3 linked regions of the Schizosaccharomyces pombe genome follow. Changing the gene in region 3 together with the main gene of any one other region gives a genetic interaction. Each region holds a gene or a part of one and is shown on either strand. Other genes may lie near its edges.

Region 1 (5,836 bases), on a different chromosome or scaffold from region 3:
GTGGAACTAACAGATTGAACGCATTAGGATGAAACTACGAGGAATGAAGTTTCACAATTGATTAAGGCTGAAGATTATGCCACCCTCAAGCAAATTATGCATCCAAGGATTGGATTTGGTACATCTGGTATGTTTTTATTACAAAAGAAGAAAAAATTGAGATTGTTAAGAGATATTTCGCAAGTTGAAGTGGATTGAAAGAGAACGCTAAATAATGCCTCTTTCTTAATAAAGAATTCTCAGTGCTACAGCCGGTAGCTTAAACTACTTTATTGTGTTTTCCTTGATTAGAGTCGAAGTGATATACTTGATCATCGGTCACTTTCCTTACTGCGTATACTAATTTATTGTGATGATCATATTGGTCATATTTCAGAAAGAGTTTTTCGTTCTTCTTCTTCTTTTCTATCTGTTTTGGTCTTTTTTGCTTGGAATGTTATATAACGTGCTTGTACGAAATTGGTTTAAGTGTAATTAGATTTTCAGCTTGCGATTGTTCTCTCTATACATCTTAATGTTTTAACATTATCAAGTTCGTTTATTCATTTACTAATGTTTACAAAGGTTTGAGAGCTGAAATTGGTGCTGGCTTCGCTCGCATGAACTGTTTGACCGTGATTCAAGCCTCACAAGGCTTCGCTGAGTATTTGCTTCAAACCGTACCATCAGCTGCAAAGCTGGGTGTGGTAATTGGACACGATCATAGGCATAAGTCTAATACTTTTGCTCGACTTACTGCTGCAGTGTTCTTGCAAAAAGGATTCAAAACGTATTTCTTCGATCATCTTGTCCATACCCCTTTAGTCCCTTTTGCCGTTAAAACCCTAGGGACTGCAGCTGGTGTTATGATTACTGCTTCCCATAATCCCGCAGCTTATAACGGATACAAGGTCTATTGGGGAAACGGTTGTGCTATCATTCCTCCCCATGACAAGGGAATTGCTGCATGTATAGAAAAAAACTTAACGCCCATTACTTGGGACAAAAATTTGGTTGAAAATCATAAACTAGCAGATCGGGATTTTGCAGTTGGTCTTTTAAAAAACTATTGGTCTCAGCTCCACGAATTCCATTCCGAAAACAACTTTTCCTTGGAAATGAAATCTTTGAAATTTGTTTACACTCCTATTCATGGCGTTGGATTACCATTTGTTACTTCAGCATTACACTTATTTGGCGAACAAGGCGATATGATTTCTGTACCTCTTCAAGATTCTCCAAACCCTGACTTTCCGACTGTGAAATTTCCAAATCCAGAAGAGGAGGGGGCATTGGATTTGGCTTACGAGCAAGCTGATGCTAATGGTATTTCGTATGTCCTTGCAACTGATCCTGACGCAGATCGTTTCGCCTTTGCAGAAAAAATTAATGGTGCTTGGAGAAGATTTACCGGAGATGAAGTTGGTTGTATCCTTGCCTATTTTATATTTCAAGAATACAAAAACGTTGGAAAGCCAATTGATGATTTTTACGTTTTGTCAACTACTGTCTCTAGTGCTATGGTAAAGTCCATGGCCAAAGTAGAAGGATTCCATCATGTTGAAACACTTACTGGATTTAAGTGGTTAGGCAATAAAGCATTAGAATTGGAAAAACAAGGGAAATTTATTGGATTGGCATATGAAGAAGCTCTTGGTTATATGGTAGGTAGTATAGTTAGAGACAAAGACGGGGTTAATGCTTTGATTACGTTCCTTCATCTTTTGAAACGCCTTCAACTTCAGAATCTTTCAATTACCGAGGTTTTTGAGCAAATGTCTAAAAAATATGGTTATTACACTACGCAAAACTCATATTTCCTTTCACGCGACACTCCCAAGCTTCGTGCTTTGGTTGATGCCTTGAGACATTATGACACAAAATCGGGTTATCCGGCAACCCTTGGTAGTAAGAAAATTACAAATGTTCGCGACCTTACTACAGGTTACGACTCAAGCTCCACGGATGGTAAAGCTACTTTACCAGTTTCAAAAAGTTCAGATAACGTAACGTTTGAGCTTGAAAATGGAGAGGTAATTATGACTATTCGCACAAGTGGTACAGAGCCGAAACTTAAGTTTTATATCTGTGCTCGCGGACATTCGCTTGAAGATTCCATAAAGAATGCTACAGAAGTTAAACAGGCTATCAAATCTGAATGGTTTCATCCCCAACAGAACGGACTGGAAGAGCCATGAGTTTTCTCGCGTGTATAATTTTAATTTGAGCTCGTTTTTTAAGCAAAATTATAAATTGCAAACAAAAATATTTCAATAAAGTATTAGATATGATTTCCTGAGTTGTTGTGATTTAAATTTTATCCTTAATTGAAAATTCCTTAAATATCTGATGGAACTACAAAAATATAGAACTTCAATGATCAAGTAATGTTTAGTGTACTATAAAACCATGGCAAGATTCATGTCTAAAGGATGACTACAACTTAATTGGGGCAGTTGTGAGTATTTGTTGGAAAGTACTTGTCGAATACCTCTCAGCAACTGCAAGTAGCTAAGTTGGGGATTTTGAGTGACGACTTCACGGAAGGCGTATGATAAAGCACCAGTAGCGAATCCATTAACACTTGTATCTGCGCTTGTTTGATTATCTTTGCATCCGGATAAAGAAATAACATCAGCAGGAGAAAACTTAACTTGTCTAGAGTACTGTAGAGCGTTGTTATTAAATCCATTGGTAGCACTGGTAAATATATTTTTCACGTTGTTGATAGCTCCCATAATGTCGCCAGAGGCATAAGAAAGGCCAGCATGAAGTACATCCATACCAGATTCTTTTAACATATTTGGCTCCTTTAGAACGCCCTTGGTAGAGTACGTGAAAGGAAGATCGAGAGCTCCACCTGAATGACAAGCTATATTTTGTTAAAAATAGATTAAAATCACTGACTTACAGTCAAAGAGAGCTGTTAAACGACATCCTGCTGGTAAAGGCTTAACCATTATTTCGTGCATTTCATCATCTATAATTTGCCCGGCATATTGATGGTCCAGTGGATATATCGTTTCATCATAACCATCAACTTCGTCTCCATCAAGGTCTTTTGTTTGCCCTCCGTGGCCCTATGCATGTGAGTATGAGATGTAAAGTGATGATTCTTACACTATAGTGAAAAAATAATGCATCCTAAATAGTTAGCATTAGGAAGTAAATCCCATGACATATAACTTACATTAGGTTGGGCATCACTTACTAACCATCTCATCGCATCTAACATATTTTGACGAGTGGGAATTGCCCTTTGGTTGCTTGCCGTGTCTGTCATAATAACTAAAAAAGTTTTAGCAAGATGTTCTCGTAATCAACCATACCCATATCTTCTTGCTTGTAACCGTAGCGCTGTATCAGCAGTTGGGACATAGACATGACATCTTAAACAAGTTAATATATGTTTACTTGACCTTTCGCATTCCGTACCATTAATGCAACCTTGCAACTCATTTTGGGTATTGAGATAGTTAATTCCGATCAGCAAAGCCTTTCGCTTCCCTTGGCAAGTTGAATACTGATACTGAAAGTTTCCTCCTCCTGCTAAGTTATAAGATTGAGTCTGAGTGTTTGGCAGCTGAGGCCCACTATAATTTGGGTTGCCATAAGAATTAGCACCAGTATTCGGAGGCGGACCTGAGGGTGGGGCATAAGCATGGGAGTTTGCAGAGCTCAAACTTATATGACCAACATTCTCCATAGGGATTTGATTAGAATTGCCGTCTGTCTGAGGCCTTGTGGAAGGGGGTGGCATACGTGGAGGCTGATATTGATGTACAGTGTTATTACTTTGAGAACCATTATTTGGTGAATAATTAGGTCTAGTATATGTATTATATGGTGGATATTGCCCACCGTTATAAGGATTGGAGTTGTAGCTCATGTTGATGGGAAGTTGGATAGTGCTTAACTATGCTACTTTCAATAAAATACCAGATCTCACAGGTTATAACTAAAGCAAAATCAATTTGACTACAGTATATACATTTAAAAAAAAAATTAATTGCAAAAGATGCGAGCAATATATTATAATCATACCACACATCAAAACGTATTATACACGAAAGAGCTGCTACACGAAGAAATAATTTAATACGATGAAAAATCAAGTAATGTATAAAGCAATAAGTGAAAACCTAGCCGGCATAGTCTAAAAAGAGTGAAACAAAATCCGAAGATTGTTGATGGATTAAATAAAAACCTAACCTAACCTAAACTAACTAAAGCATTTTGAGGAACCAAAGAAAATATTGAAAGACTTAGAGTGAAAGAAATGAAATTTAAAAATGTGCAGACAAAGCTCTCTGATTATCGACACTCAAAGTGGCAATGACAGAATTAACTTGATCAGCAGGGAAACGAGCTAAGTAAACCTTCGAAGCTTCCATCAAACGTGTCAAAGTTCTTCCACGTAAAACTCCAGATGCAAATGTTTCTGCTAAAATCGTAATAATCGTTGGCATTTGTGAGGCAACGGCCACGTGATTTTGTTCCATCAATTCCGCAAGGAAAGTGTAAGCATAAGGAGCGTCATCTTCATCATGTGTTACAGGAAGTGTATTAATCCAATACGTTACAACTTTGTCAAGATCCTGAACACGTTGGCTACAAAAGCGGCAAATTTTGCATATCGCAACACAAATATTTTCTGTGGCATAAATTTGTTCTTCATCACGGGCATCAGGAAGCTCGAGCATCTTAAACAATGCGGGCAAAGCACTAGAGCAGATTTCAGCATACAACTCTCCTCCATGCTGAGCGGCTACTCCAATACCGTACGAGGCAGCTTGTCGAATTTCTGGTTCGCTACTTTGAATACCTTCAGCTAAGTAAGGCAAAAAGTGATCCTTGTAGTTCCAAGAATCGGGTCCAGTAAATTCAATTAAGTCATCCATCATGCATAGAGCCCATTGCTTAGCTACAGTGTCGTTTCCAGACAAAAAGCCATCCATGTACGGTAGTAGCCTTTCCCAAAAAGGGCAGAAAGCAGTTTTGTGAATTTTTAATACAACACTAAAAGTCTTGTTTATTTCGTTTAACAAGTTTTGATCATTTTCGACTGCAAGAATCATGTCCTCATCTTCTTCAATATCTATGTCACCATTTTTAGCCTCCTCCTCACGCTGCTGCACGCGAGAAATGAATCCTTTGAGCTGCAAATCAACGGCAGCAACGAGTGCTTCCATCGAAGAAGGACTCAGATTCAAGCCGCTGATTTCCAAACTTTGATAGAAACATTCAAAATAGTCGGCAAGCATTTCCACGCTTGGTTCATTTTGTATATGATCCAACAGCTTTCGTAAAATAGGCTCCCAAAGCTCATTGACTTTAGCTGGATCACGATTGCTAGCTAAAATCCGAGCGTTCAATAACTGAGGAATACACTTACAACAAGCAGAACGAACCCCGTCGTGAAAGAAGAACTTCAATCCTGGAAGTACAACAGATGTCAAAACTTCATTGACGTAAGGATCAAAGTCAGCTTTTAACTCAGCAGCATAGCAGACAAGCATTTCGGTGGCAGTACACTTGTCTTCTAACGTACTAGTCCTAATACCAACCTGTTGACCATGAACGGGAATGAACTCCCAACCATCTTGTTCAGAATATTTGCTTTCATCAACCTCGTCGTCTATAATTGTGAAGTCAGGTTTCGAGGTAGCAGCAACCAACAGAGGAGGCATAACTGAACTCAAAAATGGGACAAAATCGCTTCCTAAAACACGGCAAATTCTTCCCCAGGCAGAGATGAGATAACTAGCTTGAGGATCATCACTGTCAGTAATACCCATTTGAATGTTACCTAAAATTTGGATTAATTCCTGAGATACAGGAAGGAATCGTTGTTTAC
Region 2 (4,530 bases), 3.1 Mb from region 3:
AAATCCTGAGATCACAATAGCAACATTGGGGGTTACACTTTGGTTTAAAATTTGGTTAGCCAATTTTTTAACATTGGTTTTATTTAAGTTAGCACGACGAAACACTTCGTATCTTTGCATTTGCTCTTCATCAAAACTCTCTAGAAGATATTTTGTGCGCAATTTTTCATTAGCTTCGTCGTCCGTTTCACCAGGTTTTCCAGCAACTTTTGAAATAGCAGCTGTACCAAAGTCATCCCTATCGTCTTCTTCCAGATCATTTTCTTCTTGCCGATTCCAATTCTCTTTTTCTTTTGATGAGGGAGCAGGCTCAGCAGCAGGCGATGCCGTATTTGCCTTTGCATGAGCTCCTGCTGTAGGAGAATTAGATTGATCGTAGCTCATCGATCGCTGAAATCGAGGTACTGAACTCGCAGAACCAGTTCGTTTCATATTTATCCCTTCTATCTTCAAAAAACTGAAGAGCTCTAAATGTTTAAAAATTGGGTTTGATTTTGTTATGCAAAGTGAGAATGTACAAGAAGTAAATTTCACAGGTTGGAAACTGCTTCATACATAAGCAAGTACACTACGCTTCCTTAAACGTACAATACTATGATTATAGTCAAATTGTTTACATTACATGAATCCAACGATGTTTGTAAATGACCTTGAAAATATAGGTTTATAAATTGCAAAATAATTGTTTTAGAAAAGAATAAATGTAACTTTAATAACTTAGCAACTTCTGTAACTCATTATCGTCGACTTTTAGGCGTAAGGTCTTATTGCTTAAATCGCACTTGCAAAGATATTCGATGTGTAATGGACATACAGTAATCGACTTGCAAGAACAAGCAACTTGAGAGAAGTATGAAAATGCTTTGCAATGCTGGCATTGCCAATTTTCGGCATCCTCCATTAATTCACGATAAAGTATTTCCTTTAAATCATAGCGTCCTCGTATCATGATACGTATACCTAATTCACGTTTGACAGCCTCATGCACCCAAGGCCTTAGCTCAGACACACTTATCTCTGACGCCGGATTTGTCGCTAAATTGTAAACCAACATATCATGTGAAAGTACAGGAGGTTTAAGAAGTGACTGATATTTCAAAACGCCATTCAAAGAGAATCCGTTTAGTAACCAATCTTTGGGAGCAAAATTCACTGCCTCATTAATGTTAAACCCATGATTAATTCCTGCGTGAAAGCTTTTTGGAAAGGTAATCACGAATTCATTAGGCCCCTGGTCGATGAAATAAACATCGACACCTCTTTTTTGTAGCTCATCAGGGTTGATCATTGTAGCTAATTGGTAAAGCAGATCTTTTTGTTTTTTTACCAAATCAGGAGCAATATCAAGAGCGGCGCGTTCAAACCTCTCGGCTTGATCACCTGGAATTCCATACCATAATTTTGTGTCTCCATAATGTTGATAATTTACGGAATAAGTATAGTTATCCTCGACATGCCAACAAAAAGTTGAAAAACACATTCCAACGTACAGCCACGGACAGGTTATACCTGAAACAGGATTATCTATATAGCTTAATAGAGAACCATTTGTGGATGCTATAACATTTAAATTCCATGTGTCCTTAGAGTAAGGATTCACTGGATTTTTGGCTAAACTAGGGAAGGCGCTGCCCTGATCAAGGGTTGATAAATCTGCACCGTATTCCACTTCAAGGCTTGTATTATTGTCTTTTACGAGTTTCCAATACTCTTTTTCAACAATATCCTCAGTTATCTCCGAGTCTTTAAATTTAGAAAAATAATTTTTCTTAAAATTGTCACAGTATTTTTCAAAGTTCGATAAAGTATAATAATTCCCTGTTTCAAACCCAAACTCATATGGATTAATTATACATTTAGTACAATACGCTTCTTTACACGTATCTTCGACTTCACAATTGACAGGTTTGTGACAATTGTCACATAAGTGGTTGTTATTCGTTGACAGAGAGCTCAATCGTCGCTTTTTATTATGTGAGTGATTATCATTTGATCCAAAATTATCGGCTGGCATATATTGTTGTTTAATCTGCTCATTTCTCTTGGATTCTTGGTTTTGAAGAATTCCTACGGACTCATTAGTTTCGGGGTTAAATTGTTTAGATGTCTTCTGATCTTTAATACTAATATTAGAATGTTCGTCTTTTGTAAAAAATTTAGGGAAGAGATCAGTTTCAAAGCATTGATCCTCAGAGGTCTGATATTTTCTGACGAAATCCTCAAATGGAAAAATATACCTTAAATACAAGTCACTTGCTTCCTTTAATGATGCATTAGTAAAAGGAATTGAAAGTTCTCGTAAAATCCTTTTCCATACATGAACTTTTAATTCCTTCTCACTTAGAGATGCATGAGAATCAATACAACGCATTAAGCTGTATAAGTCGATAGACGTATTGGAAATAAAAAATGATTCCGGGAGCTCCATGCCCAGATTGCAAAAAAAACGGTAAACGCGTTCATCGTAAGAGACTATTTCACGAAATCGAAGATCCATCATATGCAAATCCTGCCGCCGAGTACGGAAGGAAAACTTGTTCATGTCAAGTTGCATCGGTGGATTCCAACCAGCAGGAGGAACGATTTTTATGATACCATATTTTTCACCGATTGGAGCTATCTTATTAATATAACCGATAGAGTCCTGAAATTCCTCTTTATCAGGATAAAAAACGGGAGCAACTGGAAGTCCATGAATGGATTTGGAACGCTGTTTTCTTTGTCCGGTATTTTTTGACATAGAGGATAAGTTATTTCCCCGCGTATTCATCCCATGAGGTGCAGGTTTTAGTTTATCTGTAGCATGAGTGTATTGTACAAAAGATGGGGAAGTTTGATGAAAAGTAGACTTGCTCATGTTTCCTATGCAAATAAGTAGATAAATTAGTCCGAATGGTGAGCGATTCCAGAAAAAAAAAGTTATTATAAAAAGAATTAAAAAATAGAGAATAAAAAAGAAACGAAACGTAAATGAGAAATAATAAATGGAAACAACAGTTTTTAAACTCGGACTTAGATGAAGTAAGTTTTTTATGTTTATGCAATGTATACTTGTTCAATTGTCCATTGAAAAGACGTAAGTGTCTTTATGGGATATAAATAAAGAAATTAGGTAAAATTCGAAAATAATCTTAGGCTAATAGCATAAATAGGCATTAAATTAATATTCGTAACGTATGGTTAAGTGAAGGTTGTGACAACTTCAGTTGACGATTTTGAGAGCTAAAGGAACGATCATTAAATTATAAAGGATAGAAAAAGGAAAGGTATTTTTCACAATTAGCATAGAATTTACAATCGGAACAACGCCATATCAGCACCAAAGCATTTCAAGGTAATTCACCGTTTAGAAAAGAAAGCGTGGATGGCAGAGGCTGTAGATACACTGAACGTATTCTGTGATCAACATATAAAGGTTCCATCACGTTCAAATGAATGACAGGTTCAGAAACGTAACTTTTGCTAATAATGGTGGTTAGTACTTGCCTTGGTAAATGATAAGATAAACTATCAATGCAATATTTAGTAAATTTAATAAATACCTTCTGGAAACAGCTACTTGCTCCGCAATCCACCAAGGAGAACGACATTGAACTGATTTGTAATTTGGCAAGCGGACGTGCTTTCTTAGATGCATTGAAAATGCATAATCAAAATTTTCATAACCTTCTGCTAAAAATTTCGCTTCTCCGTTGTGTAATTCTATCTTTAGTAAGAACAACTGAACCATAAATCATTCGACAACAAACAAGTGCACATCAAACCTTTAAAACTTACGCCATAAAGCAATTAATGCAGAAGGTACGGTTTCATCAAAAAAGGCGCACTTTCCTTGAAACATTGACAGGCAAACTGTTGTAGGTAGTTGGTTTGTTTACAATTGCGCGCGACGCGTTTCGAAAAAGAAACACAATAAAAGATATTCAAGAATACTAACCAATACTTTCTTTCTATTTTTTAATACACAATAAGAAGCCGATTTGATGAATTGAAAGGAAAACGATCAAATTAGTTTTATAGGAATTAACATTAGAACAATATACCAGTTCTAATAATTTACTTTGCAAAAAAAAGGATTCTTTATTTTTTAATTTTAAAAAATGTAAGATGTAAATTGATATCGTATTTTTTGGTAAACGGGAAATAACCTAAAGACATTGAAATGACCGCTTTAAAACGAAACTACAAGATCCAGGATCTTTCAATCATAAAAAATTAATTTTCCTCTTTCCAGTTCAAGGTTTCAAAGGTATAACATATCATGCTTCAATTTTTTAGAGCGTTAAGTATTGGGTATGAGTTTAAAAGTTGCCGGGAAGTTTATCAGCAAGAGCCTTTAGGTTCTCGCCGGTGACTCTCATCATACTCCATCCTCCAACTTTTTGTGCTCCAGCCTTTTCATAGACTTCAATGGCTCTCTGGTTCCAATCAAGGACCTAGGGTATTAGTCAAGGTATAAAAAAAGAAATGGGTTATAAACAACTTACAACCCAGTCAAGACGTCTGCCACCAATTCTAAGTGATTCTCGT
Region 3 (4,813 bases):
CAAAAACAACATGCTTTCCATCCAAATGAGGGGTGGGAACAGTAGTAATGAAGAACTGAGATCCATTGGTATTAGGGCCGGCATTGGCCATGGAAAGCAAGAAAGGCTTATCATGCTTGAGCTCAAAGTTCTCGTCCTCAAACTTCTCGCCGTAGATGCTTTCTCCACCCGTTCCATTACCACGAGTAAAGTCACCACCTTGAAGCATAAAGTTCTTAATTACTCGATGGAACCTTGAACCTTTGTAGGTTAAACAACGGCCATCCTTCTCAAACCCATTACACAACGAAGCAAAGTTTTTGACAGTTTTGGGAACTACGTTGTCGAAAAGTTCAAAGTAGATTGTTGGTTGAATTTTACCATCAATGCTAATTTTAAAATAGGCGTAAGTACTCATTTCGTGCAAAAAAAAACAATGATCGTTTTTAAGTAATGATATTTCACTGCCAGTCTCCTCAGTGTATTCACACCACAAAGTTGCTTTAAGAAGAAGAATGAATAGCGATTTTACGCAGACGAAATATACAGATCTGTGCAAACTATTTAGTTTTAGTTATTAAAAAGGTGGTGATTTATATTTGCAACCTACTGCGAAGAGATTTTCTACGAAACTTCTAGAAACATACTGTATTAAAAAAATGCTAGCAGAAGAAAATTTGACTTTTTATTAGACCAAAAAATATTTATACTTTTTTCAATTAGATTGCTTCTTCGTTAAAAATTCATAAAATACCTGATTTAAGTTAGCACACACGGACTATAAAGAAATATAAGTGCTGTTGAGTGAAGTCAACAATGTATTTAAATTTTAAAACACAAAATTGTGTTTCCTAATAGTTTTAAAACATATTTCGATGAAGTCTTCAGGCAATGTAATTACTTACCGATTTGTCAATTGAAACATTTCCAACTGACTTCAATCTCTTTTTCCCTTCCTTTTGCTTATTAAGTAGCTTTTGCTTCCTTGTTACATCTCCCCCGTAGCATTTTGCTGTGACATTTTTTCGAAGAGCCGAGATAGACTCCCTGGCGACTACTCGGTTGTCGATGACAGCTTGAAGTATTACTTCATATAGTTGTTTAGGAACTAACGGCTTCAACCGTTGAATCCATTCACGGCCTCGCTGAAGTGCAAGCGAGCGATGCACTATAGAACAAAGAGCATCTACAGATTTTCCACTCATAAAAATTGATAGTCGCACCAAATCAGCAGGAACGTAATCCGATTCTTCATAATCTAAGGTAGCGAAACCACTTGTTGTCCCTTTTAATCGACCAAAGAAATCTTCAACCAGGTGAGCAAGAGGTAATTGATATTTTATCATGCATCGCGATTCGGACATATAAGTGCAGTCCTTTTGGAGTCCTCGACAAGATTCACACAACTTGATAACATCTCCTAGGTACTCGCTCGGTGTTATAATTGTTGCATCGACGGTGGGCTCTAAAAGCTCAGATATACCTTGATGATTTGTTGGAAATAGATTAGGATTCGATATTACTTCTTCCCTTCCATTTTTATATTTTATGCGATACGGTACTGTGGGAGAAGTGATTAATAATTCCTTTCCATATTCATCCTTTAATCTGTCAATAAAGACAGAAAGATGCAACGTTCCAAGAAAACCTAAACGCCATCCCATCCCAAGAGCAGACGAGTTTTCTTTTTGTACATTAATAGCACGATCATTAAGGGCCAATTGTTCGATGTTATCATTTAGTCTCTCGTAATCCGAGCCATCCAAAGGAAAGGCGCCAACATAAACCATTGATTGGGGAATAGAGAAACCAGGTAATGCTTCAACATTAGATCCGATGGTTGAATATGTATCCCCGACAATTGCTTCATCAATATTTTTCATATTCCAGATAATATAACCAACTTGTCCTGCTCGAAGACGCGAAACTTCGGTCATGTCAGGATACATAATTCCAACTTGTTGTACTTCATACTTTCTACCTGTGTTTACACTCATCACCTTTCCTCCTTTTTTTATAAAGCCCTCCATAATTCGCACCAATCCTATAACTCCCTGGTAGCTATTGTACCAACTGTCTATCAACAGGCAGCGTAACGGAGCATTTTCTGACCCCTTGGGAGGAGGAATTTTTTGTATGATTTCCGGTAGAATTTGTTCGACATTTTTTCCCGTTTTAGAAGAGACTAGGATGGGCTTGGACATAGGGATATCAAAAGTTTGCTGAACTTGAATCAAAGTTCTATCCACATCCGCAGTTGGCAAATCAACCTTGTTCAGAACTGGAATTATGACCAAGTTTTGGGAAAATGCCATATAAAAATTTGACAACTAAATAATACGTTAGCTTAGAGTTAATATATTGATACCTAGGTTATTTGATGTTGCTTTGCTCATCATCGAACCTCATATTTCATACAGTTTGTGCTTGTATGCCTTGAGAGGCATCAACTAATAAGATACATCCTTCACAAGCGGCCAAACTATGCATGACTTCGGCACGAAAGTCAACATGCCCGGGCGTATCGATTAAATTTAGTAAATATGATTGTCCATGATAATAGTAAATCATGCTGCAGGTCTGCGCCTTAACTGTTATTCCTCTTCGCCTTTCTACTTCCAACTTATCCAAAAATTGATTTCTAAAGTTATGTTCATTAATGACACCGGTGAGTTTTAGTATGCAGTCACTCAGCGTTGATTTCCCATGGTCGATATGAGCAATCACAGCCCAGTTTCGAACTCTATTTTGTGGAATTCCTCTAACAACTTCTTGAATGGAAGGCTTGTTATCCTCGGATGCTAGCTTTCTTGAGGCATAAGAAACAGAGAAGAAGCGCCATCTTATTTTGAACGATGAACTCTTTAAACAAGTCTCTAAACTAAATGTTCTAGAGAGCCTAAAAATACTCATGAACACCAAAAAAATCTTTGTTCAAGGTTATTCAATAAAGTATACGTTAAATTCATTAACTAATTACAATAGCATAAATTCAGGCACCTAGATGAGCTAACCCTTTTTTAAATGTTTATACGGAATAAAAAAATAAATAAACCTCAGTAGGTAGATGGTCCAAGTTGCAAATACGAGGGCTGCTCAATTGCTAACTTTTTTTATACTGAGTGAACTCAAGATAAAGAAAAAAAATGGAAGACGAGAATCGCAAAAATACTAGATATAGCTCAAAAGAGGGGCAAATTAAAAAAATTCAGAAAAAATTTTATGTCTTAAAACTATTCTATTCAATAAATGCAGAATGATTCTTAATTGTTTCTATAATATTTACCCTTAAAATCAGCTTGTCAAACATTTGTAAAAAAAAGGAAAAATGAAGAAAAGTTGATAGAAAGAGACTTAATTCTGTAATTTTAAAAGTTGACACTACACTTTGGTTTGTGAGTTACTTTTGCAGCGAAAAGAGTCAATTCATACAATCGGAACTACTGTCAGAAAAGAAATTGAAAAAATTTGAGCCTTCAATACTCTATACTGAAAAATAAAATCTTGGTTAGTTGATTTCACATCCATAAACGCTTTTCAACTGGCTGAAATCAAATATAAACATAACCATTAATACACCAGTTTTGAAGCTGTTTCAACCTCAAAAAGTACCAATTGACATTGTTAAAAATTTCTTTACTTTGTAAGAATTGACAGTGCTTGCTTTGAAGAATTAACATGGAATATTTCGAGTGGTACCTATATATATATATATATATATTCACAATTATTAGTTAGAACTATCGCTTGAATTTTGATGTAGATTTTAAACTCAGCAATAAGATGATGATAAAAGTAATTCAAATAAAAGAAATGATTGTAAACTATTATTTTCTTTCAAATACTACCATCCTCATATCCCTACATACATTGTGAAACTGTTACCTCCTTCTTTGTCACCCACATAATAGCACTCGTGCAACCGGCACACCTTAGCTTTAATAACTTAGGAGAGATCTTTGGTAACAAGACTACTTTTACCAACTCCAACAAAGTTGGGTTACATGAGTATAAACATTAGGTGGTTGTAATTTACCTGAATTTTGGGAAGTATAATTAGTCAAAATGTCGGCGCGAAAGTTGCAAGGTAAAGAAGATGATATGTCACGAAAATTTGACATTAACTGGTTTAGTGGAAATTGAGAAGACCTTTAAAAAAGTGACTGATGGGGTAATGAATTCGGCAATAAATTGCTTTTAATTATGATTGCATTTTACTTACATTTGGAAAAGATTGCGATTTTTGACGAGGTTTACGAAAAGCTAAGCGCCAGTAATAGCGTCTCTCAAAAAGAGAAACTAGAGGGTGATTTGAAGACTCAAATTAAAAAACTACAACGTCTTCGTGACCAGATTAAGACTTGGGCTAGCAGCAATGATATCAAAGATAAAAAGGCCTTGTTAGAGAACAGGCGGCTTATTGAAGCTGTATGTACTGTAATTAGATGCAAACAAGCTCTTTAACTAACATATCTATGCATTAGAAAATGGAGGAATTTAAAGCTGTTGAGCGAGAGATGAAGATAAAAGCTTTCAGTAAAGAGGGCCTTAGCATCGCTTCCAAGTTGGATCCTAAGGAAAAAGAAAAGCAAGATACTATTCAGTGGATTTCCAATGCTGTAGAAGAACTAGAACGGCAAGCAGAATTGATCGAAGCAGAGGCGGAAAGTTTAAAAGCTACATTTAAAAGAGGTAAAAAAGATTTATCTAAACTTTCGCACTTGTCAGAATTGGAATCTCGAATTGAGCGACACAAATGGCATCAAGACAAACTCGAACTTATCATGAGGAGACTGGAAAACTCCCAAATTTCTCCAGAGGCCGTGAATGATAT

What was found.
Region 1: mutations in guf1 (region 3) and pca1 together harm fitness more than expected from each alone (negative genetic interaction), as found in Schizosaccharomyces pombe (one large-scale study listed by BioGRID).
Region 2: mutations in guf1 (region 3) and jmj2 together harm fitness less than expected from each alone (positive genetic interaction), as found in Schizosaccharomyces pombe (one large-scale study listed by BioGRID).

What each region holds. Positions count from the first base shown.
Region 1 is NC_003421.2:2,261,999-2,267,834, reverse strand, and holds pca1 (metacaspase Pca1), read right to left. Parts: upstream 3,869-5,836; coding exon 3,415-3,868; exon of another isoform or gene 3,369-3,414; coding exon 3,309-3,368; exon of another isoform or gene 3,268-3,308; coding exon 3,170-3,267; exon of another isoform or gene 3,143-3,169; intron 3,124-3,142; coding exon 3,100-3,123; intron 3,060-3,099; coding exon 2,891-3,059; intron 2,852-2,890; coding exon 2,379-2,851; 3' UTR 2,178-2,378; coding exon of another isoform or gene 565-2,177; 3' UTR 530-564; downstream 1-529. Other genes in the region: pgm2 (phosphoglucomutase), read left to right, coding at 28-127, 565-2,177; karyopherin/importin beta family nuclear import signal receptor Sal3, read right to left, coding at 4,266-5,836. UniProt on the Schizosaccharomyces pombe protein: Involved in cell death (apoptosis).
Region 2 is NC_003424.3:1,803,941-1,808,470, forward strand, and holds jmj2 (histone demethylase Jmj2), read right to left. Parts: upstream 2,858-4,530; coding exon 710-2,857; 3' UTR 608-709; downstream 1-607. Other genes in the region: transcription factor TFIID complex subunit Taf11, read right to left, coding at 1-432; bouquet formation protein Bqt2, read right to left, coding at 3,330-3,462, 3,543-3,702, 3,778-3,841; SPOM_SPAC1002.07C (N-acetyltransferase Ats1), read right to left, coding at 4,302-4,436, 4,488-4,530.
Region 3 is NC_003424.3:4,930,619-4,935,431, forward strand, and holds guf1 (GTPase GUF1), read right to left. Parts: upstream 3,085-4,813; 5' UTR 2,893-3,084; coding exon 2,398-2,892; exon of another isoform or gene 2,310-2,397; coding exon 885-2,309; exon of another isoform or gene 734-884; coding exon 695-733; 3' UTR 640-694; downstream 1-639. Other genes in the region: cyclophilin family peptidyl-prolyl cis-trans isomerase Wis2, read right to left, coding at 1-397; not3 (CCR4-Not complex subunit Not3/5), read left to right, coding at 4,045-4,066, 4,113-4,150, 4,213-4,407, 4,464-4,813. UniProt on the Schizosaccharomyces pombe protein: Promotes mitochondrial protein synthesis. May act as a fidelity factor of the translation reaction, by catalyzing a one-codon backward translocation of tRNAs on improperly translocated ribosomes. Binds to mitochondrial ribosomes in a GTP-dependent manner.